Linked DNA regions of Astyanax mexicanus. The protein of the gene in region 2 purifies or fractionates together with the protein of the main gene of each other region. This does not show direct contact. Links are inferred from orthologs where the notes say so. Each region holds a gene or a part of one and is shown on either strand. Other genes may lie near its edges.

Evidence for each region.
Region 1: the proteins of hdac6 (region 2) and cct5 purify together in Homo sapiens (affinity purification with mass spectrometry, with the first as the bait; 3 studies listed by BioGRID). This does not show direct contact. The link is inferred for Astyanax mexicanus from reciprocal best matches to the Homo sapiens genes HDAC6 and CCT5.
Region 3: the proteins of hdac6 (region 2) and tubb5 purify together in Homo sapiens (affinity purification with mass spectrometry; 4 studies listed by BioGRID, with this or other methods). This does not show direct contact. The link is inferred for Astyanax mexicanus from reciprocal best matches to the Homo sapiens genes HDAC6 and TUBB.
Region 4: the proteins of hdac6 (region 2) and myh10 purify together in Homo sapiens (affinity purification with mass spectrometry; 3 studies listed by BioGRID, with this or other methods). This does not show direct contact. The link is inferred for Astyanax mexicanus from reciprocal best matches to the Homo sapiens genes HDAC6 and MYH10.

The regions. Positions count from the first base shown.
Region 1 is NC_064408.1:92,085,303-92,093,295, reverse strand, and holds the start of cct5 (T-complex protein 1 subunit epsilon), read right to left. Parts: upstream 3,546-7,993; 5' UTR 3,428-3,545; coding exon 3,323-3,427; intron 1,079-3,322; coding exon 1,018-1,078; intron 450-1,017; coding exon 285-449; intron 65-284; coding exon 1-64. Other genes in the region: mtrr (methionine synthase reductase), read left to right, coding at 5,427-5,570, 5,662-5,815, 6,905-7,022. UniProt on the Homo sapiens protein: Component of the chaperonin-containing T-complex (TRiC), a molecular chaperone complex that assists the folding of actin, tubulin and other proteins upon ATP hydrolysis.
Region 2 is NC_064419.1:4,051,789-4,059,903, reverse strand, and holds the start of hdac6 (histone deacetylase 6), read left to right. Parts: upstream 1-4,465; 5' UTR 4,466-4,844; intron 4,845-5,841; exon of another isoform or gene 5,842-5,844; 5' UTR 5,845-5,882; coding exon 5,883-5,969; intron 5,970-7,033; coding exon 7,034-7,144; intron 7,145-7,403; coding exon 7,404-7,489; intron 7,490-8,115.
Region 3 is NC_064413.1:1,501,529-1,510,001, forward strand, and holds the start of tubb5 (tubulin beta-5 chain), read right to left. Parts: upstream 3,338-8,473; 5' UTR 3,236-3,337; coding exon 3,179-3,235; intron 1-3,178. Other genes in the region: flot1b (flotillin-1b), read left to right, coding at 6,715-6,757. UniProt on the Homo sapiens protein: Tubulin is the major constituent of microtubules, a cylinder consisting of laterally associated linear protofilaments composed of alpha- and beta-tubulin heterodimers.
Region 4 is NC_064412.1:26,396,595-26,404,759, forward strand, and holds the start of myh10 (myosin-10), read right to left. Parts: upstream 3,541-8,165; 5' UTR 3,396-3,540; intron 625-3,395; 5' UTR 604-624; coding exon 250-603; intron 1-249. UniProt on the Homo sapiens protein: Cellular myosin that appears to play a role in cytokinesis, cell shape, and specialized functions such as secretion and capping. Involved with LARP6 in the stabilization of type I collagen mRNAs for CO1A1 and CO1A2.

The DNA.
Region 1 (7,993 bases), on a different chromosome or scaffold from region 2:
CGGATTGGGTGAATGCCTCTGTCCAGCAGCTGCTCTGCCTGCTCCAAGAGAGCTCCAGCAAGAACTAAGACAGAACAAAGCAGATGATCAGAACATCATAAACATTTATACAATTAACAGATGATTAAAGCTTTATGGTTTTAACATAATGTCATGATACTAGAGCTATTTTAATTTAATTGTGAACATTAGATTTACAATGCATGGTGACAAACTGTAATGTAAGTTATACTAATAACATGACATTTTGATATAATGCCCAGCCCTACCCAATATATACTTACCAACTACTCCAGTGGTGCCATCTCCAATTTCATCATCTTGAGACTTGGAGAGCTCCACCATGAGTTTGGCAATTTGATGATCCACATCCATCATGCTGAGGATTGTTGCTCCGTCATTGGTGACTGTCACTTCACCATCTTTATCCACCATCATCTTATCAAGTCCTGCATTTAAAAGGAAGTCACTTTAGGTAGTGGCAGATTTTCTTATACAGAGTTTAACAGCACAGAACATCTGCAGTCCTGCTGTCAGTTGTCAAAAAACTGCAGCAACCCCTTCTCGGTCTTTGATGATCACTTCCACCTAATTTGTTAAAAAATGCTCAATGAAAACTAAATAAAAGCATGGTTGTAGATCAGATGTAGACCTCACGTTAAAGTGAGAAATTTTGATTACTTTGAGGTGAAAAGGACAAACCTGCTCTATACAATGTTGATGTAGCATTTATATTTAATTTAACATGATTTCAACAAATGCATGATTAACATGCCACAAATGCTTTGAGAACTTCTCAAGGTGTAAGTGCTTGCTAACTAATGACAAGACTTTATGCACAAGCAAAATTAATCTAATGTAGCTAATATATCAACATCTCAGACGAGCACAAAAATACTGGTTATGAGAATCAACACAAAATTTCCATTCTGGCCCTTCCTTACTAAACATACAAATTTACTAATTAAAATTGAAGACAGGACATAACAGGAATGTGACCAAACTGAAGTATCTCACCATTTGGACCCAGTGAAGTCTTGAGGGTGTTGGCCACTGCCTTTGCTGCCATGATGTGTGACTGCAAAAGCAAAACACATATTAAACCTATGTAATATGCATTTAATACAAAGATGATGTCATAGCCTCTTAATATCTCTGCAATGTAGTTTAAATTAGTGAAAACTAATTTTAGATTACAGCCATCAATTATTTTAGTAACAATATCAAATCTACAAATTAATTAAAGCTCTATACAATGTCTTTATTATTAAAAACCTCAGAGTTTCTAAAAGAAACTGCAAGATCTAGTTTTCTAAAATCTAGTTTTCAGATATCACTGGTGCATTTTTTGATGATTCTAAAGCCTGTCCATTTATCAGTAAATGAATTCTGACAAGCACAAAAAAAAATAATAAATTGAGTGTTCTTTAAAATGTTTGACAGATGCATAAGCCTATTTACTGAAATTCCCTCTTGTAATAATAATAATAATAATAATAAATCAATTTTTAATTAGAATAATTTAATTCATTATTTTTTTTAATTGCAGTTAGAATTACTGTGTTTATAATGAAAATACAATTTCTACAAGAACGACAGAAGTTGTAGATATCTGTAACTGGATTTTTACTAGAACAAAATGCAGTTAAATAAACAAAGAATGAAATTCCATGTTAATCAAGGGTAACATATGCATGGTAAAATTTAAAATTAAATTAGGATAAGGGGTCTTGGTAATGTGACTAAATGTCTGAATGTTTTTACTGATCTGTAGATTTAATTTTACCAATAAAAATAATTTTCTTACCTGTAATAAAAGATTACACCTGTTAAAACTGCATTACATGGATTAGTCAGAGTTATTGCAGTTTTACTAGTAAAACTGAGCTGGGCCTTGAGTTCCTAATCATTTTGGTCTAAAACTGCTTGCTATAAGCATGTAGAGTATGGGTGGGCGATATGGCCCCAAAATAAGATCACAATATTTTAGGGACTTTTTGCAATAACGATATTCTTGGCACTGTGGAAAAAAATTATATTAAACAAGTCATTTCAAGAATACACTACTGCAACAAAATAAACATATATTTTATTTAACAAAAATTATGGACAAACAAGCTGTCTCTACTATATATTTAATAGGGAACGAGAACAGTTGAAATTTTACTTTTGCTAAAAACGGCAAAACAAATTGTAACATTACGTTAGTTAGCCTGAAATGTGGCCCTAAAATAATATGTTGCTTAACAACATTATTGCATACAGAATGACAGTAAAACCCCTAACTGAGCGTTGTTTCGGATGCTCATGCCATGCTAGGACACTAATAATGCGCTCCATATAATCAGGATTTAATTAAAATACATTTTACTGGGCAGACATGATCAGTCTCCATTAGATATTTAATGGGAAACGAGAAAAGTGTGAATTTTATTTTTGCTACAAACTGCACAAAAGTTGTAACCTGAAATTATCTATGGTTAAGATACTTGTAATAAGATATATATATATATATATATATATATATATATATATATATATAACCTAGCTAAACTAGCTATAATTGAGGAGCAGTGTGCAGTGAGTGAGTAGCGCAGTGGATTAGGCTGTGGCTGCTGCTCCTCCAGTTAGCTTAGCTTAGCCAGCGTTAACAGCCACAGGCCGAGCACATGGGTATTATAGACATGCCGGGTGTTCTGTCGAGTTGTGCTACCCTGTCAGACCATGCTATCCTAGTGTATGTTTAAAATTTTAAAATGCCAGAAAAAACCCATATTGTTATGCCTCATGCTATTGGTAGGATGGTTAAAAGCCTGAATCAATGTATTAGGATACAGTTTAGAGTTATAAGGGATGATTATAAGCAGTATTTTTTTCATTGTTCATTTATTACTTTTACTATTATTATCAAAAGTCGTTTACACATTTGTAACACTCAGACAAATAATGTCAGGGGGGCTCCGGTTGTTTAATGCACATACGTAGTACAGAATTAACTTTACTATTTAAAAAAAAATTTTAAAAATGAAAAATTAAAACATAGTTTTGCGCATGCGCAATTGTGTTGGGAAGCACATCTCGATGGATAGCACAATTCGATAGAACACCGGCCAGCATACTGGTTTACAGACACCACTAACATAACTAACTAATTAACTAATTAAACAAACAGATAGGTTAACCAGCAGCGCATAACCAGAATTCAGCATTTACTCAGTTTATTAAATACAGCACACATATTAAATATATAAATCACAGTAAGGGGAAGGGCGAGTCCGCAGGGGCGGCTTCAGCTCAAACAAAGTGTTAGCCTAGCATTTACCTTCAGAGCATCCAGGCCCGTCAGCCGGAACTTCTTATCCTGGTCTTTAATGATAATGAACGGCCTTCCATACTCGTCGAAGGCGAGGGTCCCTAGCGTAGACATCTTTCCCAGCAGATGAACTCACTCAGCTCTCTGGGTTAATCTTAATCTGGTGAATATTTCAGACCGAGAGTTGCGTGGTCCTGCCGGCCACTTCTGGAAGGATCTCAGGGCGGCGTGGACCGAACCAAGGCAGTCTGCCCGCGGGAGAACCTCAACATTAATGTATCTTTTTATTCATGTTAGTGCAAATAAATATAACTTATAACACTTTATACAACATTATAATACTGCATAGAATAATAAAATAGTACTTAAGTATAGAATATACACGTTAAATATTTTTTTTTAATAAACCTACTGTAAATGGACTATTCCAGTATCGCGATATTTCCGCGCTTTTCTGATACACGATCTGCACGGCATGTGGATTTACTTCAGTACAGCTGAGTCCGCGCTGTGACTCACCCGCCTCTGTAGTAATAGGTTGGTTATTCGCGCAGCCTCAAACACGTGTAGATCGTATTGTGTGCAGTTTATCTGTATTCCGGTAGGAAAGACACGTTATTCTGATGTAATGCTCCCCCGGTTATGAACATTAATATAATGAAGGTAAGGCTGGATTGATAAATTAGTTAATCTCTGCGAGTAGCTCATTTTACACTGTAGCTCTGTGTAGTTCACGCTGTTTGAGGGCACACTGTTGACATGTTGACACCCTGTAGCTACCTTCAGAGAGGTAAAGTGTTCATGAATCAACATAAACATGAAGTTGATTCATGTTGAATTAAAGTTGAATCATGAGCACTCTGAGCGTATCTGTGATTAACGTTAGGTTGCTGCTGTCTACCTGGAGCTAACTAGCTACCACTGTTGTTTGTGTTTTAAAGGAGGGGGATAGATTCAGGTAATTGGTGGTATTAGGTAGCTGGATAATACAACCTAGCTAGTTGAGTGTGTTATGTAACCTAGTACAGTGGTCTCTCAAACTCGGGGCTGCAATACGGCCCTAGTAGGGCACAGGACATAATATAATAATGATACTGTATCTCGTCTATACGTTTTCAATAATTTCATGACTTGGGTTATTCATGTTTTAAATGGTATGTTTCACGTTTTTGCTCCAGCCTCAGTTCAAACTTGAAAACGGCTAAAGAAATGGGTGGCATAGTCTTTTGGGGTGGGCACTGGGTGATGTAGGGGTTTAGGGGTGGGGCAATAAGTTGTGGAGCTACTTTGAGCTTGTTAAAAATAGTGTAGAAATAGTTACCTGGACCACCCATATTTGGTAATATTGAACACCCATAAGCTACTGAAATATACAGTCATGGTCAAAATTGCTTAAACCCCTGAAAAATTTCCAGAAAATTCTTACATTACTACATCCCACATGTTTTAATGCAAGTCTATTACCTTTGTGTGTATTGGAATAGCAAAAATGCAATAAAAAAAAAGAAAATTGATAGAATTTCACACAGAATGCCAAAAATGAGCTGGCCAAAATTATTGGCACCGTGGAATTTTGGCAAATCAAGATCACTGGAGATAGGCTTGTAACCTTAAATTGTTGAAAGTTTTCCATAGTTTTTGTTCTCAACTCCTCACACAGCTGGCACAAAGACTAAGTCAATTTCTCGCCTTTATGTGGTTTCAGGTGTAATTTTATTTTGCCCACACCTGTTTCTTGCCTTAGGTGAGTTTAAACGAGCATCACATGCTTGAAACAAAGTTATTTACCCACAATTTTTAAAAGGTGTCAATAATTTTGTCTGGCCTATTTTTAGTTTTGCATGAAATTATATAAATTTTGTTTTTTTCCTTTGATTTGTTTGTTGTTTTAATATAAACAAAGGAAACAATATGTGTATAACCACATGTGTAATTGCAATAATTTTCTGTAAAACTTTTAGGAGTGCCAACACTTTTGGCCATGACTGTATGTGTGTATCAAATATTTAATTCTATAATGTGTATATTTACACAGTTTGTTCTGTTCTGAAGTGACTGTTTTACATTTATCTGAATGACATGCAGCCTTGTTTCTGTACACAGGGTGCAGATCATGCCTTGTGGAGTTGCACCTCGGTTCCTGATCTTGTACGGCTCACAGAGAGGCCAGGCTCAGTCTATTGCGGAGGAGATCTCTGAGCAGGCAACTGAGCATGGATTCCTAGCTAAGATCAGCTGTCTGAGTAAAGGAGACAAGGTATGATATACTGCCAGAAAAGAAGAATACTTAAAATCCACTGGGTCTAGGGAATTTAATACAGATGTGCTTTCCTGACAACTGTTTGTAGTATAACTTGGACAGAGAACACGGCCCTGTTGTTTTCGTTGTTTCTACAACTGGAGATGGTGAGCCTCCGGACACAGCACTGAAGTTCGTAAAGAAAATCAAGAACAAGTCTTTGCCCGGTGATCACTACTCTCATCTGCACTATGCACTGCTAGGTAAGCTACTGTGTGTATGTGTGCGCCCGTGCATGCAGGCCTCCCTCTGTACACATAGCATTTCCAAGGGCCCCCTTAACAGTATTATCAAGAATACCATAGACTACAGAATATAAACCTCAAATATGACCATTAATACTTTGTAAAACTTTGTTTTGAAAATATACTGTATATAGAACACATTTTCTTATATTTAATCATATATATATATATATATATATATATATATATATATATATATATATATATATATATATATATATATATATATATATTTATTGTGTATACATGTATTGTGTATGCAAAGTTCCAATATTGTGTATAAATGTTAAAATGTACTTAGAAGTAGGTCTGGGCAATATGCCCCTAAAGTAATATTAATATATTTCATTGTATTTTTGCGATATCATTTGCAATATGGAAAAACATAATTATTTTAAAAAGATACGACTGTATAAATGTTCAGTTTCAAACATTCAGCGGAAACAAACAAAAAATAATATAATAATGTGACATAATAAATAATGTTACACAGTTGTAATAAAACAAAAAAGACCTTTCAAAATACTGAAGTACAGAATATTTAGTGCATGCATTTAAACTGCAACATAAACTATTACACAAAAATACTGTGATTTGCATAATAGTCTGGGTAAATTATAGATGCCTGTATGTGGACACAACACTGAACCTGTGGGATATGAACAGTATGTCGTATTAGTGGCACAGCTTATCTGTGCAATCATACAGTTTTAGTAGTCATGTGTTGTAGTTAAATGTAGGCACTGAATAAATTTGTTCCTGTCGATCATTAATGCCATTATTACCATTATTACCAAATGACTTTTCAATTTCTCCCCAGCTAAGAAATGAGCCTCTTTATGCATACTGGTGGTCCCCTGCCTACCCTGTATGTTAATCCAGCCCTGCACAAATGAGTCAAACACTTTTGAACAAAATGCCATTTTGGAACAGTTGTTTAACTGTGCTAGATGATTTCACTCATAACCTGCATTCTTCCAGATGTTCCAGGGACAGCATTTTTCTTACTGACTAAATCAATGCTCTTTGTTTTTGTATTTCTCTCAGGGCTGGGAGACACAAATTATGCCAATTTCTGCAACTGTGGAAAGACCATCGACAAACGTCTGCAGGAACTTGGTGCAAAACATTTCTATGCAACGGGTCATGCTGATGATGGCACTGGGTAAAAACATGCTGTACATTGGGTTACATAGTTATGGTTATTAAACCTTACTGACGCTCAGGGATTACCTAGTCAGGAGAAAAAAAATAGACAGCTTGTCTGTTTCTATGGCTGCAGCAAACTATTTGCGTGCTGTTGTGTTGTATACCTGACAACCCAAGGTGTGGAAATGGGACTGTGGAGTCCTATGGTGGATGGTGGTTGGAAGCCAAAACCCACACAGATATAAAAATAAAGAACATTTTGTTTGAAGCCCTGCTGCAAATTTCTGTTAGTGCTTAAAATTTAATGAAGGTTTTCTTAATATCTGATTATACATCCTGATCATGTTATAAATTAAAACAGAAATATAATCCTTAACGGTTCTTAAATGTATTCGTGGATGCTAAATAAGTGCATTTTGCGCAGTATGGTGTTTGCTGTTGAGGGATTATGCTTAGTCCTATATAATTGTATTTTCTGTTTAAGTAAATATCTCAGTTTAAAATGCTGTGTAGTCAAAGGCTAGGCTTAATCTCTGTATGGGAATTTGCCCATATATCTGCTGTGTATTAGTTGTCATCATTGGCAGGGGACCAGCATATCAACACACATATTTGAGTGGTGGTTTAATTAATCTTTAGCACAGCAGTGTCACTGTTAAACTGGATAATAGAGCTGATACGAGTGAAGCAGACACAGTGTTTCTGGGGGTTTTACACTGCTAGTTTGACACTGTTAGGTTGAGACTGATGTCCGTACAAACTGTGCATACACAGGCGGGCTACTGTCTCTAGCTCTAACTACAGAAAGTTAAATCTACAATGGTTTCTGATAAAGTGGTTGATGAGTATGTACTAGTTTTAACTCAGATCCTAAAATGGCCATTGCCCTGCACATTTTAGTGGGTTTCTGCTCTAATGTACTACCTTTGGAAGGAATCATTACTTAGCAGATTAGCTGGATCATGTGTGTTGTAAACTGAGATAAAC
Region 2 (8,115 bases):
GAATTTGGGACAGATGTGCAAAAAGGTGTGCAAAATGTTCAATCTCCCACTACAAAATAAAACCAAATAACCTTCACATAATCCATTATCATCTTACATTAAAATAAACAGTTATAGTAGCACATAAGGGAGTCTAATGAATAAATACTGGGAATTCTTGATATTTTAATGCACCTAAGTCTATGTTTTAACTATTTTTTTATTTTAATTTTAGTTAATAGCTACTAGGTTATTTTTTTAGCTAGCCAGCTATGCAGAACCAAATCTGAACCGAAGGCTAGCTTAATATAATTTACATTTCTAAGAAGGTTATATTTCTAGACATACTGTAGGCTATGGGTTAAATTCATATAGAAGTATAGAAGTTGGCCTTAAAGGGTTTAAGGAGTTAGTTCACATGAACACATGGAAAAAAGACAGATGACATGTGATGAACGTGTGAACTTTTAGATGTGCATTAATGTGGATAAAAAAAAGATAAAAGAAATGATAGAAATGAAAGAAAATATAGGATTAGCCCCCTTTAAATATGAATACAGAATATGCAAACACCTATTGCCTTTTTTTTACATTTCTTTAAGAAAAAAACAGTCCATAACATAACTATATCAAGTGTGTGTGTGTGTGTGTGTGTGTTGTGGTATTATATTGAACAAGGCCCAAAATTTCAGACATACAAAATATCAATATTTATTTTCAACCCCTTAGGCCCTATGTTGTAGCTCATAGTTTTGTAGTTTAGTTTTTACCTCTCATAACTAGCTATACCACAGTCATACTTAGGGTAAGTTTAATAGCCCCTACAATAGAACCCTGTGGGATTCAATAAAACATGCAAAACCATTTCTTCTTCTTAACTGAATGATAATCCTAGAATACAGAATCTTCAAAGACTAAATGCACATTTTCAAATATTTCTTTGGCTAAATCAAGTCTATAACATATGCTCTATGTGTGTTTTTAGTGTTGAGTTAAATGAGGTCCAAAGCTTCATTAGGAAAACACCAGAGAAGACTGCAAATGTTCTGGAAATGTTGTCCCAGATTCCAGAAATTCGAAATTCTTCTGTATATTTTGGGGAATACAGATTTAAATATACAGATAGAGCACATATGACAATTCACAGTCTATTTGTAGCTTAATTTAACATTTCAGCTCCTCCTCAATGGGCATTCGCTCTGTTCGCTCCTCTGGTCATCTCTTCCAGGTGTGCACGATGCCTCTCCATGGGTCCACATGGCCCAAAATGGCGCAATGGCCATGATGGCAAGGTGGCAGCCTCTGCAGCCTCATGTCAATTCTCTCTCTCTCTCTGTGTGACACCTACACAGTCTCTTTTTCCTCATTTCTCCTTCTCTGCCCCCCTCCATCTGTTTCACTCTTTCAGTGTTGACCACACAGCTCATCTCCTTGGGCCTCTGCTGGAACCCCATTGTGCAACGCAGGCAGCTTTTTGGTTTTCCGGAGTCTCTGAAAAAAACATGTAGAAGGGAAGGAGAGATGCTGCAGTGATGGCATGGGCCCCTGATGGCTCGTTTTTTCAAGGTGCCAAGAAAAGTCACATCTCTCTCTGGTTTCTGTTGCTGGCTTCCTCCGTTCGGGGTGAACCGGGTTTATCTGGGTGGCCAAACAAGCGGGAAATGGAGCAGAATGACACATGGAGATTAGCAACCACAGGCCAGGACCAGCCAACACATGGGCACAACCGTTAGAGCTCGCTCGCCCCGCCATCTACGCCTGTCATATAGACACACACACACACACACACACACACACATACACACACACTCGCTCACTCACTCGCTCAGTCATTCACTCACTCTATCCAAGAGACTCTTTCAGATCACACATACATGTATACTCAACCACATACACACATACAGAGAAGAAGCTGTAGCAGAGTGGACTGGCTTTGTGGCCTTTGCGCCTTGACCTTTTGACCTTGCAGCACATATTGGCCTGTAGTCGAAATAATCTTTCAAAAAAAATGAAGAAAAGAATATGTTTGATCAGATTCACACTGTGGACAAGCTGAAATTAAACAAACTTAAATTCAACTTAAAAGTCAAATTGAAAAGTTGAACACTTTTTAAAGCTTATTAAGTTCACAGTTCAGTCTGCCAGCCCAAATCAGATTTTTGGCATATCTACTGTATATTGTATCCAGAATGGTTTGTGATAGTTTGAACAGCCGGAATCCACATGAAATATGATTTTTTTATTTGTGAATTGGATTCAAACCACATTTGGAGATTGCTTCAAATGTGATACAAATATATGTACAGATCTGTCACAGTCTGGACACTCTGGATGCTGAATCCAGAATGAGGGAAGTGTGGGGGCACAAGAAGAGCTCTAAAGATTAGTTACTGATACCTGTTATTAATGCTTAACTCATTTAAGTAAATTAGTTTATTTAATTTACAGTTCAGGCTGTGTTTACACTGCAAGCTCAAATCTGGATTGCATATCTAGATTGTATCCAGATTAGTTTATAAAAGTCTGGACAGCCAGAAAAAACCCATACAGGAAAGGTTGTATCAGAGCACAGTTAGAAGACCTGAATAAGAAAACCCTAATTTCTGAGATGGGTGTCTGGATTAAGCAGTTCCAAAAGGTACAGTACAGTGGTATAAGCTTAGGCCAGGCTTATATATTCAACACTTTACTAATGATAAGGCCACAGTGCAGTGAACACACTGATAAACACTGCTTTACAGTGTTTCTGGTTAGTGTGATAGAGGTCAGGGCAGGAGGTCAGGGCACCACAGAAAAGAAAAAAAACTATTTGCAAGAGAGCATGTACTTTCTACTAAGATCTTAGCATGATTTATTGTAATATATTTATTTAACACACAACATAGTCTACAGAGAGTATATTATATTATGGCTACACTTCCTTAAGGCTGTAAGTAACAGATGCACGTGTGTGTGTGTGTGTGTGTGTACGGAGAGTGCCGGGAGGAGGGGGTGCAGTGGGCTGCAGTCTTCCCAATCCCATCGTGCACTTCTCACCCACTTTCTGCTACTTGTCTGCTAGACCTCAGTTTATAACGGTAAATGCTGTTCTGAATCATGTAATTGCTATGCTATTGTTGACTGATATGCCTTGCTGTTGTTGTGGCTGTTTACATTGTTAAGTGAAAATTGTCACTTACCTACCATGAGACTGGTTCTGAGCCATTTTAGGCACCTTCTGGTAAATTTCACTGTTCACTGGTATTTGGGTTCTTCCACAGAACGCTTCTCAGTGCTGTATAAGTGAGTCTTCTGCTCTGGTCCTGGAGGGCTGGTGTAAAGGATGTAAATGTCAGGGCTCTCTGGACTCTACCGATAAGTTGTGGAGCTACTTTGAGCTTGGATAATGGTGTAAAAAGCGATTTATCTGCAGGGGCAAAATATGCCCCGTTAAAACCTATTCTAACCTGTTTGGCCAAATTGCATTGAAATACTGGTTCTCAGAAAGCTGTGGTTGAACGGAGGTGGGCTATTCAACTAAAGTTATTACTTTTTATCATGTTCATGTTTTACTACACCCAAAGTCCATTTTACACCGGAGTTCTCCATTAATGTTTCACCACTTTATTTACTCTATTACTTTTAAAAGACCAACATATTCAACACAATTTTTTAAATTTACAACACTGAAACATAACATTGCAATTTTGTTTTAGTTTTTTTTTTTTTTTTGCAGGGGGTGGTTGCTAATATGAGCGGATCCATTTTCATATTATATGTTGATTACACTTATTAAGGCAAGAAGAAGAAGTTTCATACTGAAAAAAATACTTCTAACTATTTTTCCTAGAGCTTCAGACGGGTCAATTTGACCCATACAATAATAGGAGGGTTAAATCATGGCAAAGACTTGGAATAGATTGGAACCTAAATTCAGTGATTAGGATAGGTGAGTTTAGTGATTAGAAAGGGTGAGTAAATAATATAATAATATAATGTATATTATACAGCTCTGGAAAAAAGAGACCGCCTAAAATTCAGTGGCATAAAGTTATCCAAAAGCAGTGTGTAAGACTGGTGGAGGAGAACATGATGCCAAGATGCATGAAAACTGTGATTAAAAACCAGGGTTATTTTACCAAATATGGATTTCTGAACTCTTAAAACTTTATGAATATGAACTTGTTTTCTTTGCATTATTTGAGATCTGAAAGCTTTGCATCTTTTTTGTTATTTCAGCCATTTCTCATTATTGTCTACAAATAAATGCTCTAAAAATAATTATTAAATGCGAGAAATGTTGTCCGTAGTGTAAATAATAAAACAACAATGTTTATTTTACTCAAACATATACCTATAAATAGCGAAATCAGATAAACTGATTCAGAAACTGAAGTGGTCTCTTCATTTTTTCCAGAGCTGTATATCACATTATTGTTGGAGTAACAGCGACCCCGCGTGCTTTGCTGAAGCACGTGCAGGTAGACGTCATCCGCTCGCGCCCTCCAGAGCTGTTGTTGCTGTGAGTGAAAGTAGCAGTGCCGCGGGTAGTTGCGGTGGCTCCGGCGGGCGGCGGAGCGGTTTTAGCTAATTTATCTGAATAATTTAATAAGCAGTAACTCAGCTCCGGTACTGTAGCACGTTTATATGCCGCTCCTGTCGGTAGACGCTGTTTTTATCCGCTTATTTACCTCAGTTTTGTGTGGAAATGGGGGCGGAACCTTAGCTCGGTTAGCATTAGCCGCGGTAACGGTCGGACTGCCGGAGCGCCAAGCAGCGTTTAAACACAGCTGATGAAGCAGAGAGACAGACAGCTGAGAGAAAGAAAGACAGCTGAGAGAGGGACAGGAGGGACTATCTGAACCGAAGGACGAGTTAAAAACATAGTAAGTGATACTTTTGTGGTGTTATTCATGTTTAACGACACAGTACTCACATTAAAAGTTGCTATATACAATACCAGTCAAAATAAGGACACACCTCTTTTCAGTCAGTGTGCTTTTTCTTTCTGTTTATGATTTTTTTATATTGTACATTCATTATTTAATTTGTAATACTATATTAAAGTTATACAGAAACACATGCTGAATTATTCTGTAAAGAAGAAGTTAAACAAAGCAGAATATGTTTTAGAATTACTTTAGATATGACAAAGAAGAATACACTACTGCAACAAAATGAACATTAAATTGTATTATTGTATATGATATGGCACACCCCTAACTGACTGAGATATAAAAAAATATAAGAATTTTATCAGATTTGTAACCGAAGTCAGTGATGTCATGGTTCTAATAATGCACTCCAAATATCTCCATATATCCAGGATTAAAGTAAAATAAATTATACTGGCAGATATAATCTGTCTATAGTAGATATATAACAAGAAATGATAACATTAACATTTTTCTTTTGCTAAAAACAGCAAAAAAGTAGTACCCTGATGTGATAATATAGGGGTGGGTGATATGGCACCATATTTCAGGGTATAAAATCATCCACAATATTAAAAAATGCTGGCGATGTTATTGCATACAATACGATATGTCACACTCCTGCTTTAGATTCTACTAAGTAGGTTAGCACATTCACATTCACAGCCATCTTTGAGGACAGATCTGCACGCTCTTCGTATTTTAATCTCAGTGTCTTCATGAAGGAAAGTCACCTGGAATAGTTTTCTCAGCTTCTTGAAGGAGTTCCTGGAGATGCTAAACAATAGTTGCTTCTTTTCCACCCAAATAAGACTTAAGGGCTTTGACTTGTTTGTTTGATTATTTATGAGTTTTTGTTCTTTCCTTATAGTATGCCTTTTTAACACTGACGCTTGAAATTAAACAGTTTTTTTGTGTTACAGTTTTTTCTTTTTTTATATTTAAAAAGCAGGATTTGCTGAGGGATTTGCCGTGGGAGTTATCGTCATAATGGAATCTGCATCAGATCCCACTCCACCAAGAGCACATAAAGGCTCTTCTCGTTCTCCAAAAAAACCTCAGCAAAACTCTGCCAAAGTAAGAAATATTCACCTTTTTAAAAGCTAAAGCCAAATGTCTGTTTAAAACAAATTGTCAGTGTTGTGCTGTGGGTTTACTTGTCAATCCGAAGCTCAGCACAGGAGCAAGGCTTCATGCGTCGTCCACCAAGTTTCCCAGAGCTCCTTTCCACTGAGTCTTCTGAGTTTGAAATGACCAAAGATCCAGTCGTCATTAAGACATCAATATGAGGCCAGAAATTGTGTTTACTGATGGTTTTAAGTAGCCGATTTCAGTATTGGGGAACAATGTGCCACATCTTACATGCAGTTCCAAAACAAGCAATAGTTTTAGTCAAGCAAACGTTAGAGACAAGATCATTCTTTTCTCTCACTCAGCATTACTAGAGACTGCTGGAGTTGTTAAGCAAGATTAGTTGCATTCTTTGTAAATTTATATCTTTGGCGGTAACAGCCTTCTTAAAGTTTTTTTCTGACTGACGTTGCATGGAAGTGTTTTAGATTCACAGTCGAGTGTAACAATATATACATTACGTACACTGTTATCAAAAATTGATAATAATAGAATTTACTAAACCGTCAGCTTAATACTTATTAAAACACATATTTTTTTTAATAGTGGTATGTTGTGTGATGCTTATACAATTATAACATTAGTACAAACATTAATACAAAGACAGTTTGGTTTATTTCCCCAGTTTTATCAAATTAATAATTCATTGATTGAAAAAATAATCAACAGTTGAAATGATTATCAAGATAATTGTTAGTTTCAGCTGTACTGAAGTGAATTGAGTACTTCTTAATAAGTGGTACTTTAGGAACAAGATTGAGAACAACTCACTTAGTAAAGCCTAAAAGCAAACACGTTTCAGTGCCTGGATTTCTATTGTTTCAGTTAATTGTAGTGATCCATTAGATTAGCTATATAAGAGACCTTCCCTGATACAGTGCTGAGCTTTGTATAGAATAGAACAGGTTAACTTGCAAAATGTGGACCTGAGTTAGATAATAGGAGATTGGTGAAGTTTATGTGGAGCTTGTGTGATGGTTTGTAATTAACCTGAAGCTTCTTTATCTCAGAGAGAAAACAGCAAACCCAACCACAAGCAGAGTCTCCAGGACGCCAGGAGAAAGGGCAGAATGGACCGAGGGAAAGCAGAAGAGGAGATGATCAATAAGCTCAAAAACATTGTGCGTATGTTAGAGTGCATTTTGGTGCAGAATTTTAATTATATGACCTATTTAGTTTATTTTTTCTCATTTTGTTGTTTTATTTTTTCCACTGAAAATATAGCATTTAGATTTTTGCACTGCTTGAGATTTTTTGTTCTATTCATAATCATATAACGGCATGCAAACTGTTCATATGATAAGTAAATGTCATGTGAGTTTAGTACAGTAAATAAGTTCTGAACAGTATGTGAATGGGTTTGTGTTTATTTGCTTGCAGGATTTGCGTTGTAAGCCTAAAGCAACTGGAACAGGCCTGGTTTACTCTGAAGCTTTTACTCACCATCGCTGCCTCTGGGACACCAGGTGACTGCAGTATTGTATATGCTTATTCATTCTTAATAAAAATAAGTGAGTAAGTGTGTAAGTGTGAGGGTTTTTTTTTTTAGACTTTTGTTGTTTAAAGAGGTTTGTTACAGAGGTTTGTAAGCTTTGTTATTGCTTCATTCTTAATGATTTACTTGTTGCTGCTTAGTCAAAGTTATTCTATAACAGTAGCAGTGGGTTAACACATCTACATTGTTTATACTTGCATTGTATTTTAGATCCACTTAACAAATATAATTTCAGAATGTAGTCCTGTATCTGTTTCTCTACATACTCTATTATCCTCCTTTTACCCTGTACTTCAATGGTCAGGACCCAGAGGATCATCCTCAGCACTGCAGTGACACTGACGTGGTGGTGGTTAGTGTGTCAGAGTGTGTTGTGCTGGTACAACTAGATCAGACACAGCAGTGCTGCTGGAGTTTTAAAACAGATAGACTTCAATCTGTAATTTTAGAATTACATAGTGCTCCTTTATAGACAGTGGAGCTGATAAAATGGACAATAAGTGTAAAAGTCCTATGTTTCAAGAAAAATACTAATATTTGATCACATCAAAAGTGTATCACAAGTAAAAGCTATAAGATATATTGCAATATCAGTAT
Region 3 (8,473 bases), on a different chromosome or scaffold from region 2:
AACTGGAAACACTGATGCAATTCCTTTTTAAATATCCCATTTATTGTCTAAAAACATAAAGTCTCCAATATATCGCAAACCACTTGCTGCTACATCTGTGTCTGAGCCGTGTTTGGAGGTTATTAATATCTTGTCCATGTAAGGAGCATGGATTTAATCTGGAACAAAAAGCAGCATATGGAGTTATAATCAAGCCGCCCGACTGCATAAATGACCTCGATCTGAACGACAGTGAGAGTAAAGGAAGAGTGGGACTGCAAAATGAGGATCTCAAGGTATAGAGGGAGTAATTGCTTTGAAAGAATGAGGACAAACAGCAGGGAAGTGCTGAGTGGCATGGTCAACTCCCATCACTTCCATCAGACCACGCAGGCAAAGCCCCACTGTCATCAGGAGCATCAATTAAAACTTATATAAGCAGCCAGAGTTCTGCCCTGTCACCACACATGCCTGTCTACAAACAGGAAAAAACAACAACAGCAATTAAACTGCTGCGTATTGTGATATGCATGACTCTCAGACTATTAAATGTCGGATAGCGTAGAAAGTGTAATTGGTATTGCTTCTTGGATTTTGTTTAATGTGTGTAATCATTGTAAAGGTCCCTCCACATTAGTTTAAAGTTACAATATCAGCAGTATCGCAACCCTCGATCAGATAGATATCACAAAATCAGAAGTATGGCAACCCTCACCTGATGATGATATGATTAGTTAGGTATTAGTTAGATATCAATATTGGAATTATTGCAACCCTCATTTAGTTAGATATTACAATATTAGTAGTATTGCAAACCCTTGATTAGTTAAATATGAAAATATTGGTAGTATCTTAATTCTAACTCAATGCTGTGAATCAGTAGTATCGTAACCCTCGCCCGGTGCTGTGATTAGTTAGATATCACATTATTGGTAGTATCGCAAACTTTTGCATGTGCTGTAATGAGTTTGATATCACAATATAGTAAACATTGAACCCTCGTCCACTGTGATTAGTTCGAAATCACAATATCTGTAGTATCGCGACCCTTGCCTGATGCTGTGATTAGTTAGATATCACAATATTGCTAGTATTGAAAATTTCGCCCGATGCTGTGATTAGTTATATATCACAATCTCTGCAGTACTGCAATCCTCGATTAGTTAGATGTCACAATATCGCTAATATCGCAACCCAATATCGGTAGTATTGAAACCCGGTAGTATTGCCCGATGCTGTGATTAGCTCCATATCACAATATTGGTAGTATTGCAAAGGTTGAAATTGTGATTACAATTGAAAATTGATAGATATTGATATTGATTCAGCTCATGATCAGCTCTGATGGTAGGCTATCTCCTTAACTAGGTCTTGACCATAGGCTGTGTTTTCTCTGGATGACCAGCTGGTTTTGGATTTTTCAGCAGGGCGGGTGAGACGGCAGTGATATGCAGGCAGGAATAACCCCTGTCTTTTTCCTCGGTTAGTCAGACTAAATCTGGTTTGAGCCACAGGCCTGCAGATGAAGCAGCTGGGAGACCCATTACCATCCCTCATCTTCCATCTGCTGGAGCCTGCGCCCCTCCCCACCCAAACCCGGTTCAATACAATGCCTGTTCACTCAAATACGCCCAGTATGTGGAGCCATTATCTTCATAATGAGATGGATCAATAGACTCTCTGCGTTTCTCATGAGCCCTTTATAATAAATTGCCATCCAAATAGTTATAACAGATATATAACAATGCACTAATGAAGCTGGCTGTTGTTGGCATTTGTATTTTTTTAGTGTATTAGTGAAACTATAAGGGGGTTAATAGCAGATTACAATAGATCCTCTTAGCTGTCTATCTACCATAGTCTGTGATTTGACATAGACTGACATTTTCAGCTTTTATTGTCCAAAAAATGTAGAAAAAATATGTAAAATAATATTGTTTTAATAAATTAAGAGGTTGATTATATTAAACTATTATTTATTGTGCATAATTGTATAAATATTGTTGAGTTTTCTCCAGATAAAGGTAGTTTTCTTTGTCAGTGGTTTTCTGTCTGTGTCGCCCCACCCTTCCTTCCCACTCTCATTCATCTGATCTGCACCAAATTTATCCATATTCACACAAAAATACAGAAAACGACGACTTAAAATGCAACAAAAACCATTACAAACAGATTATGGGTGAAAAAGACCCTTTTTTAATCTGAAAAACGTGCTGACAGCTTTTTAACCCCGCATTTGCCTCAGCTCCATCGCCTAGTAACGAAGCAGAATGCGCTAGCGAAGCTTTTTGACGGAATTTCCAATTCCTCCTTAAATTCTGCAGCAGTTCCATTCTAGGTCCAATTCCTCTCGCAGAGCGCCTGAATGGAACCGCTGCAGAATTTAAGGTGGAACGGGAAAATTCCGAACCAGACAATGTTAGCTTAGCTTTAGACAGACAGTGTGGAGCTCGCGCCACGCCCGTTAGCCGGCAAGACAGCAAGAGAAAGGGAGTGAAAGGAACCGAAAAGGAAAGGAAAAATCACGAATTTAAGATATTTATTTGTACTTTTTGAGGGATTCTGTGAGTGCTTTTTTGCTTTTTCATACAAACATGCTGCAATCATTTTTTTCACAATAATTTTTTTTAAATAAACTTTAAATTAATTAACTTATTCACTGAATGCGTGAATATCAACTACTATTCTGTTTTTTTGTCAAAAAAACATATAATAAATGCATAAAATACAAGATATAGTTAGATTAAGAAGTTAAACCTGACCTACATGTTGATCTGCATCTAACGTTAACTAACTAATACAGACAGACCTAGCTATATGGTTCTCTTAGATAATAATGGATAGAAGATACATTGCTGCATATATATATATATATATATATATATATATATATATATATATATATATATATATATATATATATATATTTATGCATATGGCTACATTAATATTTAAAAATGCATTTAAACATTTCTAAAGTAAAAAAAAGCTAAAGAAGCATGTTAAAATTAATATTTTTTATTGTTTTTTATATTATTGTGCAAAAAAAAAGAGCAGCTTAGGCCACCAGACCACCCCTCTGGTGTGGGGGTTTCATTGTCATCTTAAAGCCCCTTCAAGATGCATATAAGCATGTTTAAAGGCATGTTGGTCGTTTTTTATTCTTTTTTTTCCAGGAGAACAGTGCATATCCTCTTACCTTGGCACCGATCTGGTTACCGCACTGGCCGGCCTGAATATGAACGATCTCTCTCATGGTTGCAGGTGAAGTGCAGGAGTTGGGTCTCTGGTCGGATGTAACGGCGTGGCTCCGCTGTAGTGAGTCTGGCCGGACAAAGGCTTTATAATTCTGGATTCTCTCCAGAACGAGGCTCCGCTAGTAAGAGGGCGGGGCCGAGCAGCAGTGGAGCGATTTGATTTGACCGAGCGCGAGACGTGGGCGGGGCCTAATGTGAACCGTTCTCTACTAGTCTCTCTCTATATATATTTCTTTCTCTCTGCTTCTCTCTATTTCTCTCTAATTCGTTTTACTTCTATCTCTCTTTCTTTCTCTTTCTTTATCTCCACTCAGCTCATTACTTTTCTCTACTTCTCTCTCTACATATTTCTACTTATCCCTTATTCTCTCTAGTTCTCTCTTTCTTTCTCTCTAATTCTCTCTTTACTTATCTGTACTTCTCTCTACCTCTCACTCACATTTAATCTCTTTCTGTATCTCTACTTCTCTCTACTTCTCTCTATTTCTCTTTCTGTGTCTCTACATCTCTCTGCTTCTTACTGTCTTTCTATCTCTTTCTCTCTTCTTCTTTCTCTGTACTTCTCTATTTACTTTTCTCTACTTCTCAGTCTCTTTCTCTCTTTCATTATCTCTACTTCTCTCTCTACTTCTATGTCTTACTGTGTATCCCTGTTTCTCTCTCTGTCTCTATTTTCCCTCCTTCTCTACGTGTGTCTCTCTCTACTTCTCTCTATGTATCTCTCTGTGTTTGTCACTCTTTCTATTTTTCACTTTCTTTACTTCTGTTTATCTATCTCTGGAAAACAATAAGAGACCCTGAAAAATGATGAGTTTCTCTGATTTTACCAAATTGAAAACATCTGGAATATAATCAAGAGGAAGATGGATGATCACAAACCATCAAACCACCAAACTGAAATGTAAAGCAGCATAAAGTTATCCAAAAGCAGTGTGTAAGACTGGTGGAGGAGAACATGATGCCAAGATGCATGAAAACTGCGATAAAAAAAACAGGGTTATTCCACCAAATATTGATTTCTGAACTCTTAAAATATTAACTTGTTTTCTTTGCATTATTTAAGTTGCATTATGAAAGTTTTGCAAAAAAATGCTCTAAATGACAATATGTTTATTTGGAATTCAGAAGACATGTTCGTAGTTTATAAAATTAAACAACAATGTTAATTTTATCAGAGATAAAATCAGAGAAACTGATTCAGAAACTGAAGCGATCTATCTATTAGAGTGAATGTACATAAGAGGCACTACAGGGGACGCTGTTGTATTGTTTTGTGTGTGTGTGTGTGTGTGTGTGTGTGTGTGTGTGTGTAAAAGTGTGTGTGTAAGTGTGTGTGTGTGTGTGTGTGTAAGTGTGTGTGTGTAAGTGTGTGTGAGAGAGTGTGTGTAAGTGTATGTGTGTGTGTGTGTAAAAGTGTGTGTGTAAGTGTGTGTGTGTGTGTGTGTGTGTGTGCGTGCGTGCGTGTGCGTGTGTGTGTGTGTAAGTGTGTGTGAGAGAGTGTGTGTAAGTGTATGTGTGTGTGTGTGTAAAAGTGTGTGTGTAAGTGTGTGTGTGTGTGTGTGTGTGCGTGCGTGCGTGCGTGTGCGTGTGTGTGTGTGAGAGTGTGTGTGAGAGAGTGTGTGTAAGTGTATGTGTGAGTGTGTAAATGGGCGCGGCTACGTCTGTGTGCTATTCGCTGTGTTTTCTGTGCCGTGCTGCAGCTGCTGCTACAAAAACTGGTACTTTTAAGACTTTCCGCGGTTGCGAAACCTTTTCCACAGTCCACAGCTCATTGCTAAAGACCTGCTGTCGGTAAGAAACCCCAGTTTAACTACATTATTTAATATAATTCAGAATAACCGCAGCATTAGCGCAGTCAGGGGCTACGGTCGCCTGTTGGCTTGTTTACATTGATTTAGCTAATGGCTTTTGATGAGCTAGCCTAGTTAGCCTAGCTTAGCTAGCTAACAGAAACTTAACGTTACTCACTAACAGCACGCGTATAGACAGAGAGTAAAATCAGCAAACTAAATGTCCTTTTGAACTATAGGTTATGTATTTACAGCCTACCGCTGTTTAACATTATATTTCTGTTCCCAATTCCCAAGTTTTCTTCGTGTAATAGGTTGGTATAGTTAGCTAACTAGCTAACAGGGGTGTGTAGTCCAGGTCCAGAAAGTAAAAATCCACCCCAGGACTACAAAAACCACAGTTACCTGTTACCAGATTACATTTTGGTTCAGTTTTTTGTATAAAGTTATATATTGGATAAAGTTAATATAATAGTAGATTTATAAGGCTGTTCAGGTTTTTGTGTGTTCTATAAGTAACGTTAAGTATAAGTACTATTATAAAAAAGATAGATAACATATAAGTTACCTAGTTAATTTACGTAGAACAAAACTATTTTTGTCATATTTTATTTTCAAGCCTTTTTATGCTATTGAGATAATGACAATATGATAACATAACAATGCAATAAACACATTAAAGTTACCTTTAAAGCTGGGTGAACTGTTATATCTGTTATTAAAGTTAATTCTTCCGTTGGCATTGAAATATTAAAACGTTTAATACTCTGTACAATAAGTCGACAGCATAATTATTGCTCATGATTTTATGCGTGTATAAAAAAGCATTTTTATATAAAGCAAATTAGATCATTTTAAACGATTGTACCGAAGATATATTATTTTTATTTAGGTGTGTACCGACTCACCACAGCAAACTTACACTGTTATATCTGATATCTGTACAATAACTACTTTACACTGTATTAAATTGTTTTATCTTTAGTATTGTCCCATGAAAAGATATAATAAAATATTAATAGAAATGTGGGGGTTTACCCATCCTTTGTAAGATAATTCTATATGTAGCCTACAATATAATATAGCTCTGTATGATCAAAATCTTTTAAACTCTTATCCTTGATATCAAATATGAAAATATGTGTATTATTACACATTTGGTCTGTTAAATGTGGAGTTTTTTTGGCTGCTGTAAATGTTCTACATTGTTAAAGACGTGGGTTTTCTCAGCTTTTCTACTGTGGAAACTCTGAGGTTTAATCTCGCACGCAAGTCTGGACAAATCATGTGGTTGTGGTTTGTTGATTTTTTCTTTTTGTGTAGTTGAAATGAACTGAGGCGTATAGACAGGATATTATGGAGAGAGAGAGAGAGAGAGAGAGAGAGAGAGAGAGAGAGAGAGAGAAATGAATGGAGGAAGAGGGAGGGACTGCATGCCTTCAGCCACACAAGTGTCCAGAGAGAAACAGCTGCTTATCTAGTGAAAGAAGTGTCATGTGATTTGGCCACAGCTAAAAATTCACCAACGAGATATCCCTCACTCCCTCATATAGAGATTGATCTGTGGAATTTTACATGATCTGGCTCATTAAATCCATTGAATTGTCTTATAAAAATAGTAGTAAGTCAGCACAGGTGGATTTAATGTACAGTACTGAATTATTTTTCAGGTCTGATCCAGTATCAACATGTTCTACACCTGTGGTCCCAATGAGGCGATGGTGGTCTCAGGTAAGAACAAACCGTTATAGGTAGGAATTTATGGCTGGAACAAAAAGGAAATTTAATCACTTGTTCTATTTTAATAAATGTTTAATCGATCTGGTTTTTTTTTTTCATTCATTTTAAATCGTCTAGTTGTGTCTCCAGTATGAATGAAGGCCATGTGAGCTAATTTTTGTGAAAAATAAAAATAAAATCATCTGGTGATCTGGTATAACACTGCTTTAGTCAGGTGGAGGAGTGGAGGGCTGGGAGAAACTATAGGATTTCGGCTCTTGCTTATGAATATTTATACATGCAACACTGCGACACCAGGAGGCAGCGAGACGAACAACACTTTTTTGAAATAGTTTTGAAATAAAGACATTTTTACACTAATAACAGTCTTTGCAATGTCTTTGAAGGCATGGAAAAGTCATGGAAATTTATTGGTTAAAAAGTGTATTAGCCATAAATACAGCTCTGTAAAAAAATTAAGAGACCACTTCAGTTTCTGAATCACCTTTTCTGATTTTGCTTTTTATAGGTTTATGTTTGCTCAAAATGAACATTGTTGTTTTATTCTATAAACTACAGACAACATTTCACAGTTTTTAATGCATCTTGGCATCATGTTCTCCTCCACCAGTCTTACACACTGCTTTTGGATAACTTTATGCTGCTTTACTCCTGGTGCAAACATTCAAGCAGTTCAGTTTGGTGGTTTAATGGTTTTTTATCATCCATCTTCCTCTTGATTATATTCCAGAGTTTTTTTTATGGTAAAACTGGTAAAATCAAAGAAACTCATCATTTTTAAGTGCTCTCTTATTTTGTTTCAGAGCTGTATATTAAAATAAATAGTTTAATCATTAGATGTTACAATGTATGTTTGACTCTCGTTCTTTATCTGTATTTTCCTGAACTTTAAACACATTACACACTTCGGTTAAGCAGTGTGAACACACTCATGCTCAGAACGTGCCCTCAAAATCTGTGCTATCTCTTAATCAGCTGCTTTAGCATCTGCGCTGAGAGGGTGTCGCAACCTGGCTTTGTTCCGAAATCACTGAGGAATGAGTCCTTTCCACTTCTTCTCCTCCTCCTACAGATCTGTGACTTCAGCACTGCATGCCAGCACTGTCACATGATCAGTATATAAAGTGTCATGGGTTTGCTCAGAAGTTCAGATATGCAGCAGTGTTTACAGTCTTCATACCCCTGGTCCTGTCAATCACAGGTCATTATATTGTTTAAAAGGGAAGTCTGTATATGGTTTCACACTAAGAGGAAGCATTTGATAACTGAAAGGCAGAATTAAGCAGATTTTAGCTTTTAAAAAAAAGTAAAAAGTAAAAAAAAAAAAAATTTGGTTTATTACATGCATTATAATCTTTCGTGATGTGTCCATTATAAACCTGCCTTAAATGTTAGAATGTATTGGGCACTGTGTCTGTGTTTGCATTCAGACGGTAACTACAGGTTTAAATTGGATCTCCGATGAATTCTGAGTTTTACAAGCAGAGTTTTATGATACAGAGCAGACAGTTTAAGGGTTAACTTTTCCTAGCACTCAGTTCTGTATCTCTAAAAACATTTTGTCCTTTGAGTTTTAGAGCTGTAAAATTTACTGTTTTGCGGGAGGCAGGTAGGTGTTCTCTGCTGCAGTGCTGTTAGCCAATCAGGGGCAAAATATTTGCATGTATGAATATTCATGACCACGAGCAGAAATCCTGTTCTTTTTCA
Region 4 (8,165 bases), on a different chromosome or scaffold from region 2:
GGAGAGAGAGAGAGATAGAGAAAGTGAGAAAGTGAGAGAGATAGGGGGTGGGTAGGCGCATGACAAATAGAGACTCCTATAGGCTGTACTGTGTATTCTGCGCGCGTTTAGGCAAACCATACTGTGACCCCCCATCGTGACGGTTTGCGAGGAAAAGGAAGAAAAAAAAAAAAAAAAAAAAAAAAGACCATTTCTAGTTTCAGTGAATTACATTGAGCAACATCACAGCAGATCTTTCAGCACACTCACGTAAATGAGGCCAGAGTAGTATCTGTCCTTCAGGTTGTGCAGTACAGAGGCTTCGTTCAGGCAGGTCAGCTCCGCCATGTCCTCCACCTTGCTGAACTTGGGCGGGTTCATCTTCTGGATGTCGTCCTTATTGACCATAGCCTTTTTGCCATTCTCAGCAAGCTCCACCACCACCTCATCTCCTCTCTCCTCACGGATGCTGGCCGCCTCAAACCCATGCCGCTCCGAGGGGACCCACACCAGCTTCTTGGCGGTCCAGTCAGCCTGCGTGGCCGGGTTATAGACAACCGCCCGGTCCACAAAGAGGTACCGCTCAGGGTCCTCCTGACCGCTCCGCTGAGCCATTTCCGGCATTAGGGACTACAGACAGGCCACCTGCAGAGAAACACAGAATCAGATTAGAGACGACAAAAGCATGGGGTGGATAAAATGGATAACAAATTAAAGCAAATCCCAAAATTACACAAACAAAACAGTTCAGACAGACTGTTATTACCAAGCAGCCAAACATGACTGTTATAGTCTTAATTAAACTGAAAACCTCCAGAAGTAAGCATTTACTGTACACAATCAAACAGCTTATTAATATCACATTACAATGTAGTGTTTTAACATAAAAAATACTTAGCAAAAGTTATTTATAACTTGTACACTTAATAAGAGTGTTCGAAACTGGAAAAAGAGAACATGGATTAAAAGATCATCCAATCAGAACAAATCGCACTGCATACATCAGTCCAAGCATGATAATACCCAGTTGAAAATTGAATGACCGTAATGGATAATCCAACACAGTTAATTAACAGTAATTCTTAAAAAGGGGATAGGTCAAGAAACAAGAACACCACAATGCAACTATTTTTTAACTTATTTATTAATTGATCACTCCATTTAATTATAAACATATCATTTAAACAAGCCATGAACTATCTAGGTTGAAATTTTATTATTTTAGATTTCCAGCGAGAGAACTGCTTAGTTACGTATAACTAGTACGTAATCTCAAAAAAAATTGAATATCATAAAAAATTACTTTATTTCAGTAACTCAGTTCAGTGAAACTAATAATAAATAGATGGATTACACACAGTGATCTATTTTAGGCATTTATTCAGTGTCTCAGACAATAAAACCAATTGGTACTTTTGGCAATGTGGGCAGTGTGCCAAGTCCTGCTGGAAAATGAAACCTGCATCTTTATAAAAGTTGTCAGCAGAGGGAAGCAGGAAGAGCTGTAAGATTTTTTTGGAAAACACTGCACTGACTTTAGACTTAATAGAACACAGTGGACCAACACCAGCAGATGACATGTCTCTTCAAACCATCACTGACCATCAGTCAATTTTGCACTTCATTTGGAATTCAAGGGACCAGAGTCTGGAGGAAGAGTCGAGAGACAGATAGGTGTTGGTTTCTTACAGCACTTCATGCTTCCTTCTGCTGACAACTTCTATGGAGATGCAGATTTCATTTTCCAGCAGGACTTTGCACACTGCCAAAATATGCACTAGTAGCATCTACTGTACATATAATTGTCTATACAGCACTGGTAGGCCCTTGAGAAAGGCCCTTTACACACACTGCTCCCAGGGTATCACACACACACACTGGTGGGTGTGCTCACTGCATGAATGGGCTAAAGATGAACACCACATTCCATATATCTGGCCAACAAGTATGATAAAACTGGGTGTCTTGTCTGGTCTTTTACACATCAAGTCATTCATTTAACATCTACACGCAGCTTCTTTTTATGCAGCATCCATAGAGTCGCATATTTGTGTAGCCCCTGCACAGAGTAATGTGTCCATATGGATTCTAATCATGTTCTAATTATGAATGAAACCTAAAAACTAAACTATTTATACAGTACTAATGCAAATTACACTAAAAACCTTCGTATTCCTCACATAGTTTTCACACATAGGGCCAATACATGGAAATCCATATAGTAAGTTAAAAACTTACACTTGACCTTGGGATTAAGTTATCTAAAAACTACAATTTCCAGTTTTAAGAGCGTTAGCAACTGCTTTAAATACAACACACATTAAGAAGACAGCCAATCAGAAGTTAAACACAAAGTCTATGACTGTGATGGATATACAAAAACAATCATTAATAGTATTTCTCAAAGAGGAGTTTACATCAAGATACAAATTAAAAACACAAGAAAGAACATGTTCTAATGCAATTTACATAATTCATGATTATTACTGCAAACAAACTGGAGTAATAACTGCATTAGAAGCTTTTTTAAATGCTATTCAGATACTATAGTAGACTTATATCAGTGCTAATTTCACTAAATGAGTCTAGAGCATCACTATACGATAAAATCGTAATATTGTCCACTCATTACTGACCTACAGCTTAAAATGTGTAATTGTGCATCAGTTTGGTGCTTAAAATAGAAAATAAAAGGAAGAGAAAATGTGTCAGAAGAAGCATATAGGTCAGAAACCAGAAACAGCTGGAGATGTATGTGTGTGTGGAAGGAGACCAAGTTGGTAACAAGCTAAGTAACTAGCTAGCTATATTTTGTACTAAAAATAAAAGTGCAGAAATGGGTCACTAATGCTGCAGATGCATAAATTGAGGCCAACACACCAAACTCCTAGCTAGCTAATAAAAGCATTAAGAACAAAAACATATTAAAGAGTTTATATCAGCCATAATAAAGTCTCGGGATATTCAAGTTGCATGTACAAATTATATTAATAAAGGTTTCTAAGATATTTAGCTAACAGTAATGAATGTATCTTAATGCTGGTAGTGGTGGTTCTGGGGATGCCGTTAGCTAGCACACAAGGCTACGCGTGTCTGCTAACCTAGCTACGGCATCTCCATCATCACCAACACCATCACTATAATCATCTTCACCGCGGGTAAACTATGAAATAACGGTCTTTTAAAAAGTTTAACCGCCTCGAGAGCCTAAACATATTAGTTTTAGATACCCAGCAAATAATAAAAGCTTAAATTCGGATTTTAACCCACATAAAAAGACCGTAGTTCTGGCTAAAGTCCGTTAGCCTGTCCGCTAACGCAGCCTCCCCTCAGACCCTGATAAAATAATCCGCCAACACGAACCGGAGCTCCGCCACAAAACCACACACCACAAACCCCAGCAGACACACACTTACAAAGGGCGGGAGGCGAGGGAACCTGTGTGCGCAAACAGATGAAATAAATGTCTAATCCGGCGCGTCCAGTTTCATAAGAATCCAGTTTACTGATGTATTAAACTCAGCCTTGTCTCCCTCCGCGCTGCTGCAGGAGCCGCTTCTACTCAACCGAACCCAGCGGACCGCGCTTTCTGAACACACCGACCAATCACAGCCCAGCCCCTTGCCGCAAGAGAACCAATCAGAGCCCAGTAAACTGCCAAAGACCCAATCGCGGCGGCATACGGCGCGCAGACGTCCAATCAGAGCACTATACTACCTTCAGTAACTGAAATAAGTAACTTTAACAGCAGTTAGACAACCGCTAAAGAGCCATACAGCTCTTAAGCGTCCAATCATTAACAGAAAACCACCTCAACCAGCCAATCAAATTTTTTAAAAACGCAAACTGTCAAACAGACAATTATCATCGCTCTGTAGCCTCTGTAACAGCCTGTCGGAGCCCCATCCCGCTAGCACAATCAGATTCTAAAGCATCTAATCAGGTAATCCTTAAAGTGATCACTAGATGGCCCGTACCACACCAGTTCTCTTTCTGTCAACCAATCATAACCCATCGTCCATTAACCAATCAGAATTTAGTTCTGCCCACAGTTAAGTAACGGTCCTGCAAGGAGCTTGTCTACTTAAGTATTTGTTGGTCACACTCAACGACATGTATAACATGCACAAAAACACACACACACACACACACACACAGAGGCGTAGCAGCAAATTCTGGGCCCTGTACACATTCAATGTCAGTGGGCCCCTATCCATGCCAGTACACAAATAACGTGAGAAAAAAGGAAAAAAAGGGGTATTTATCTAAAATAAGAAAAAAACATAAAGTTTTAAGCTACAATCTTCAGCAAAAATCATAATCACAATTATTTAACATGATTATTAATTGTTAGCTAATCTAACAACTTCGTGTGAGCATAAAAACATCAGCAGCAGCTGTCTGAAATGGACTTAGTTAACTTTAAGTGGATTTTTCATAACAAGCATTCTTGGTTCACCTTTTGGAAAGAAAGCCGTCCACAGCTGCCTCCCCTCATTCTTTCTTACTTCTTTTAATAACCTGATTTCTGTTTTTTGGGCAGCATGATGTCTCTAGCCTCCAGGTCATTCATTCTGGGCATTCTGGACATTACACCTGTAGCCGCTCGCTGTCGGGCGGACTAAACCATTTTGCGCCTCCAGGAGGAGGCCCCCTCAATGTCCACTATGTTGAGAGGACTGTGACTAAGGTTCATTCATTCAGTTGATGTTATCAATATATTTGAAAGACTAATTAATAAATAGTAAATTGGAGGGCCCAATTAAAAAATAAAAACATCACAAAAAATGGGCCCCTCTCCCTACTCGGGTCCTGGGTAGTTAGGTCCACTTTTCCCCCCACTACCACACCCATGCACACACACATGCACACACACACACACACACACACGGATACACACGCACACACACAAACACACACACACACACACACATTAATTTACTTTCTTTCACGGACATGGTTTTATTGTATCGTTCATGAAGAAGTAAGTAAAGAAATGTGTCCCTCTTGTGGTGTGGAAAAGTATTACATTATAATAATTATCAATAAATAAAAATCTAATTTACTCACCATATATATATATATATATATATATATATATATATATATATATATATATATATATATATATATATATATATATATATATTCAGCGTGGTAGAGCCCAATGAACAGGAGTGATCCGCCCTGTACCTGAAGAAAGAATATTCTCCTTCAGAAAAATGAAAGAACTTTTGTTTTATATGAAGAGTAAACACAGTGTAGCCTTGTAAAAATTTGTGACATCATAGATTGAACAGAGTAAAAAATAAAAGGAAAGATGGAAAAGCTTACAGCACCTGGTATTCCCAGGCGGTCTCCCATCCAAGTACTAACCAGGCCCGACCCTGCTTAGCTTCCGAGATCAGACGAGATCGGGCGTTCTCAGGGTGGTATGGCCGTAAGCGATAGATCAACTCCCAACAAGCCTATTTATAAGTCACTCACAGACCTGAGTCTTTTCACTGTCATTTACTGCTCTTCACAAAAGTAAAGCAGCTCTACGGACTAATACAAACATCTTGCCTCAAAATAAAAGCTCCTTTTAACTTTCCCTACAAAAAGTAACCACAGAAAAAAAAGGCAAAAACTCCCTATATGTCTTAACTTTTATCTCTTCATCTTTTTTGTTCAATTTTCATGCTCTACGTTTCTTACTCAATGGAATGGAAGCTTCAGATTAGGCCCAATAAAAAAAAGCCCAATTAAAAAAATCATATTTACAAAGAATATTCTGAGAAATAAATAAATAAAATCATACACACACATTAAAGTATACTTGGCATACATTTACAGAAAGGCCCTGTGTCCTACAGAAGGTGCCTTTTTAATTTTTTTCACCCCTGCCATCCAAACAGCCTGAGTCCGCAGCACACTGTATCCAGGTAAGTAAGACCTTCAGGATCACGTGAACATTCTAGACTCAGGTGAGTTAAATCTGAAATCTTTAGCGTGGTAGAGCCCCAGGAACAGGAGTCAGTCGCCCTGTACCTATGTTAAGAAAATAAAAAATAATGCATTTTTTCTTTATTTATAAGCATGAAGAAAGAATATTCTCCTTCAGAAAAATGAAAGAACTTTTAAGTGAGTATTTAATCTGTATATGGTTTTAAGTGTTTTATATGAAGAGTAAACACAGTGTAGCCTTGTAAAAATTTGTGACATCATGGATTGAACGGAGTAAAAAATAAAGGAAAGATGGAAAAGCTTACAGCACCTGGTATTCCCAGGCGGTCTCCCATCCAAGTACTAACCAGGCCCGACCCTGCTTAGCTTCCGAGATCAGACGAGATCGGGCGTTCTCAGGGTGGTATGGCCGTAAGCGAAAGATCAACTCCCAACAAGCCTATTTATAAGTCACTCACAGACCTGAGTCTTTTCACTGTCATTTACTGCTCTTCACAAAAGTAAAGCAGCTCTACGGACTAATACAAACATCTTGCCTCAAAATAAAAGCTCCTTTTAACTTTCCCTACAAAAAGTAACCACAGAAAAAAAAGGCAAAAACTCCCTATATGTCTTAACTTTTATCTCTTCATCTTTTTTGTTCAATTTTCATGCTCTACGTTTCTTACTCAATGGAATGGAAGCTTCAGATTAGGCCCAATAAAAAAAAGCCCAATTAAAAAAATCATATTTACAAAGAATATTCTGAGAAATAAATAAATAAAATCATACACACACATTAAAGTATACTTGGCATACATTTACAGAAAGGCCCTGTGTCCTACAGAAGGTGCCTTTTTAATTTTTTTCACCCCTGCCATCCAAACAGCCTGAGTCCGCAGCACACTGTATCCAGGTAAGTAAGACCTTCAGGATCACGTGAACATTCTAGACTCAGGTGAGTTAAATCTGAAATCTTTAGCGTGGTAGAGCCCCAGGAACAGGAGTCAGTCGCCCTGTACCTATGTTAAGAAAATAAAAAATAATGCATTTTTTCTTTATTTATAAGCATGAAGAAAGAATATTCTCCTTCAGAAAAATGAAAGAACTTTTAAGTGAGTATTTAATCTGTATATGGTTTTAAGTGTTTTATATGAAGAGTAAACACAGTGTAGCCTTGTAAAAATTTGTGACATCATGGATTGAACGGAGTAAAAAATAAAGGAAAGATGGAAAAGCTTACAGCACCTGGTATTCCCAGGCGGTCTCCCATCCAAGTACTAACCAGGCCCGACCCTGCTTAGCTTCCGAGATCAGACGAGATCGGGCGTTCTCAGGGTGGTATGGCCGTAAGCGAAAGATCAACTCCCAACAAGCCTATTTATAAGTCACTCACAGACCTGAGTCTTTTCACTGTCATTTACTGCTCTTCACAAAAGTAAAGCAGCTCTACGGACTAATACAAACATCTTGCCTCAAAATAAAAGCTCCTTTTAACTTTCCCTACAAAAAGTAACCACAGAAAAAAAAAGGCAAAAACTCCCTATATGTCTTAACTTTTATCTCTTCATCTTTTTTGTTCAATTTTCATGCTCTACGTTTCTTACTCAATGGAATGGAAGCTTCAGATTAGGCCCAATAAAAAAAAGCCCAATTAAAAAAATCATATTTACAAAGAATATTCTGAGAAATAAATAAATAAAATCATACACACACATTAAAGTATACTTGGCATACATTTACAGAAAGGCCCTGTGTCCTACAGAAGGTGCCTTTTTAATTTTTTTCACCCCTGCCATCGAAACAGCCTGAGTCCGCAGCACACTGTATCCAGGTAATTAAGACCTTCAGGATCACGTGAACATTCTAGACTCAGGTGTGTTAAATCTGAAATCTTTAGCGTGGTAGAGCCCCAGGAACAGGAGTCAGTCGACCTGTACCTATGTTAAGAAAATAAAATATAATGCATTTTTTCTTTATTTATTAGCATGAAGAAAGAATATTCTCCTTCAGAAAAATGAAAGAACTTTTAAGTGAGTATTTAATCTGTATATGGTTTTAAGTGTTTTATATGAAGAGTAAACACAGTGTAGCCTTGTAAAAATTTGTGACATCAAGGATTGAACGGAGTAAAAAATAAAGGAAAGATGGAATAGCTTACAGCACCTGGTATTCCCAGGCGGTCTCCCATCCAAGTACTAACCAGGCCCGACCCTGCTTAGCTTCCGAGATCAGACGAGATCGGGCGTTCTCAGGGTGGT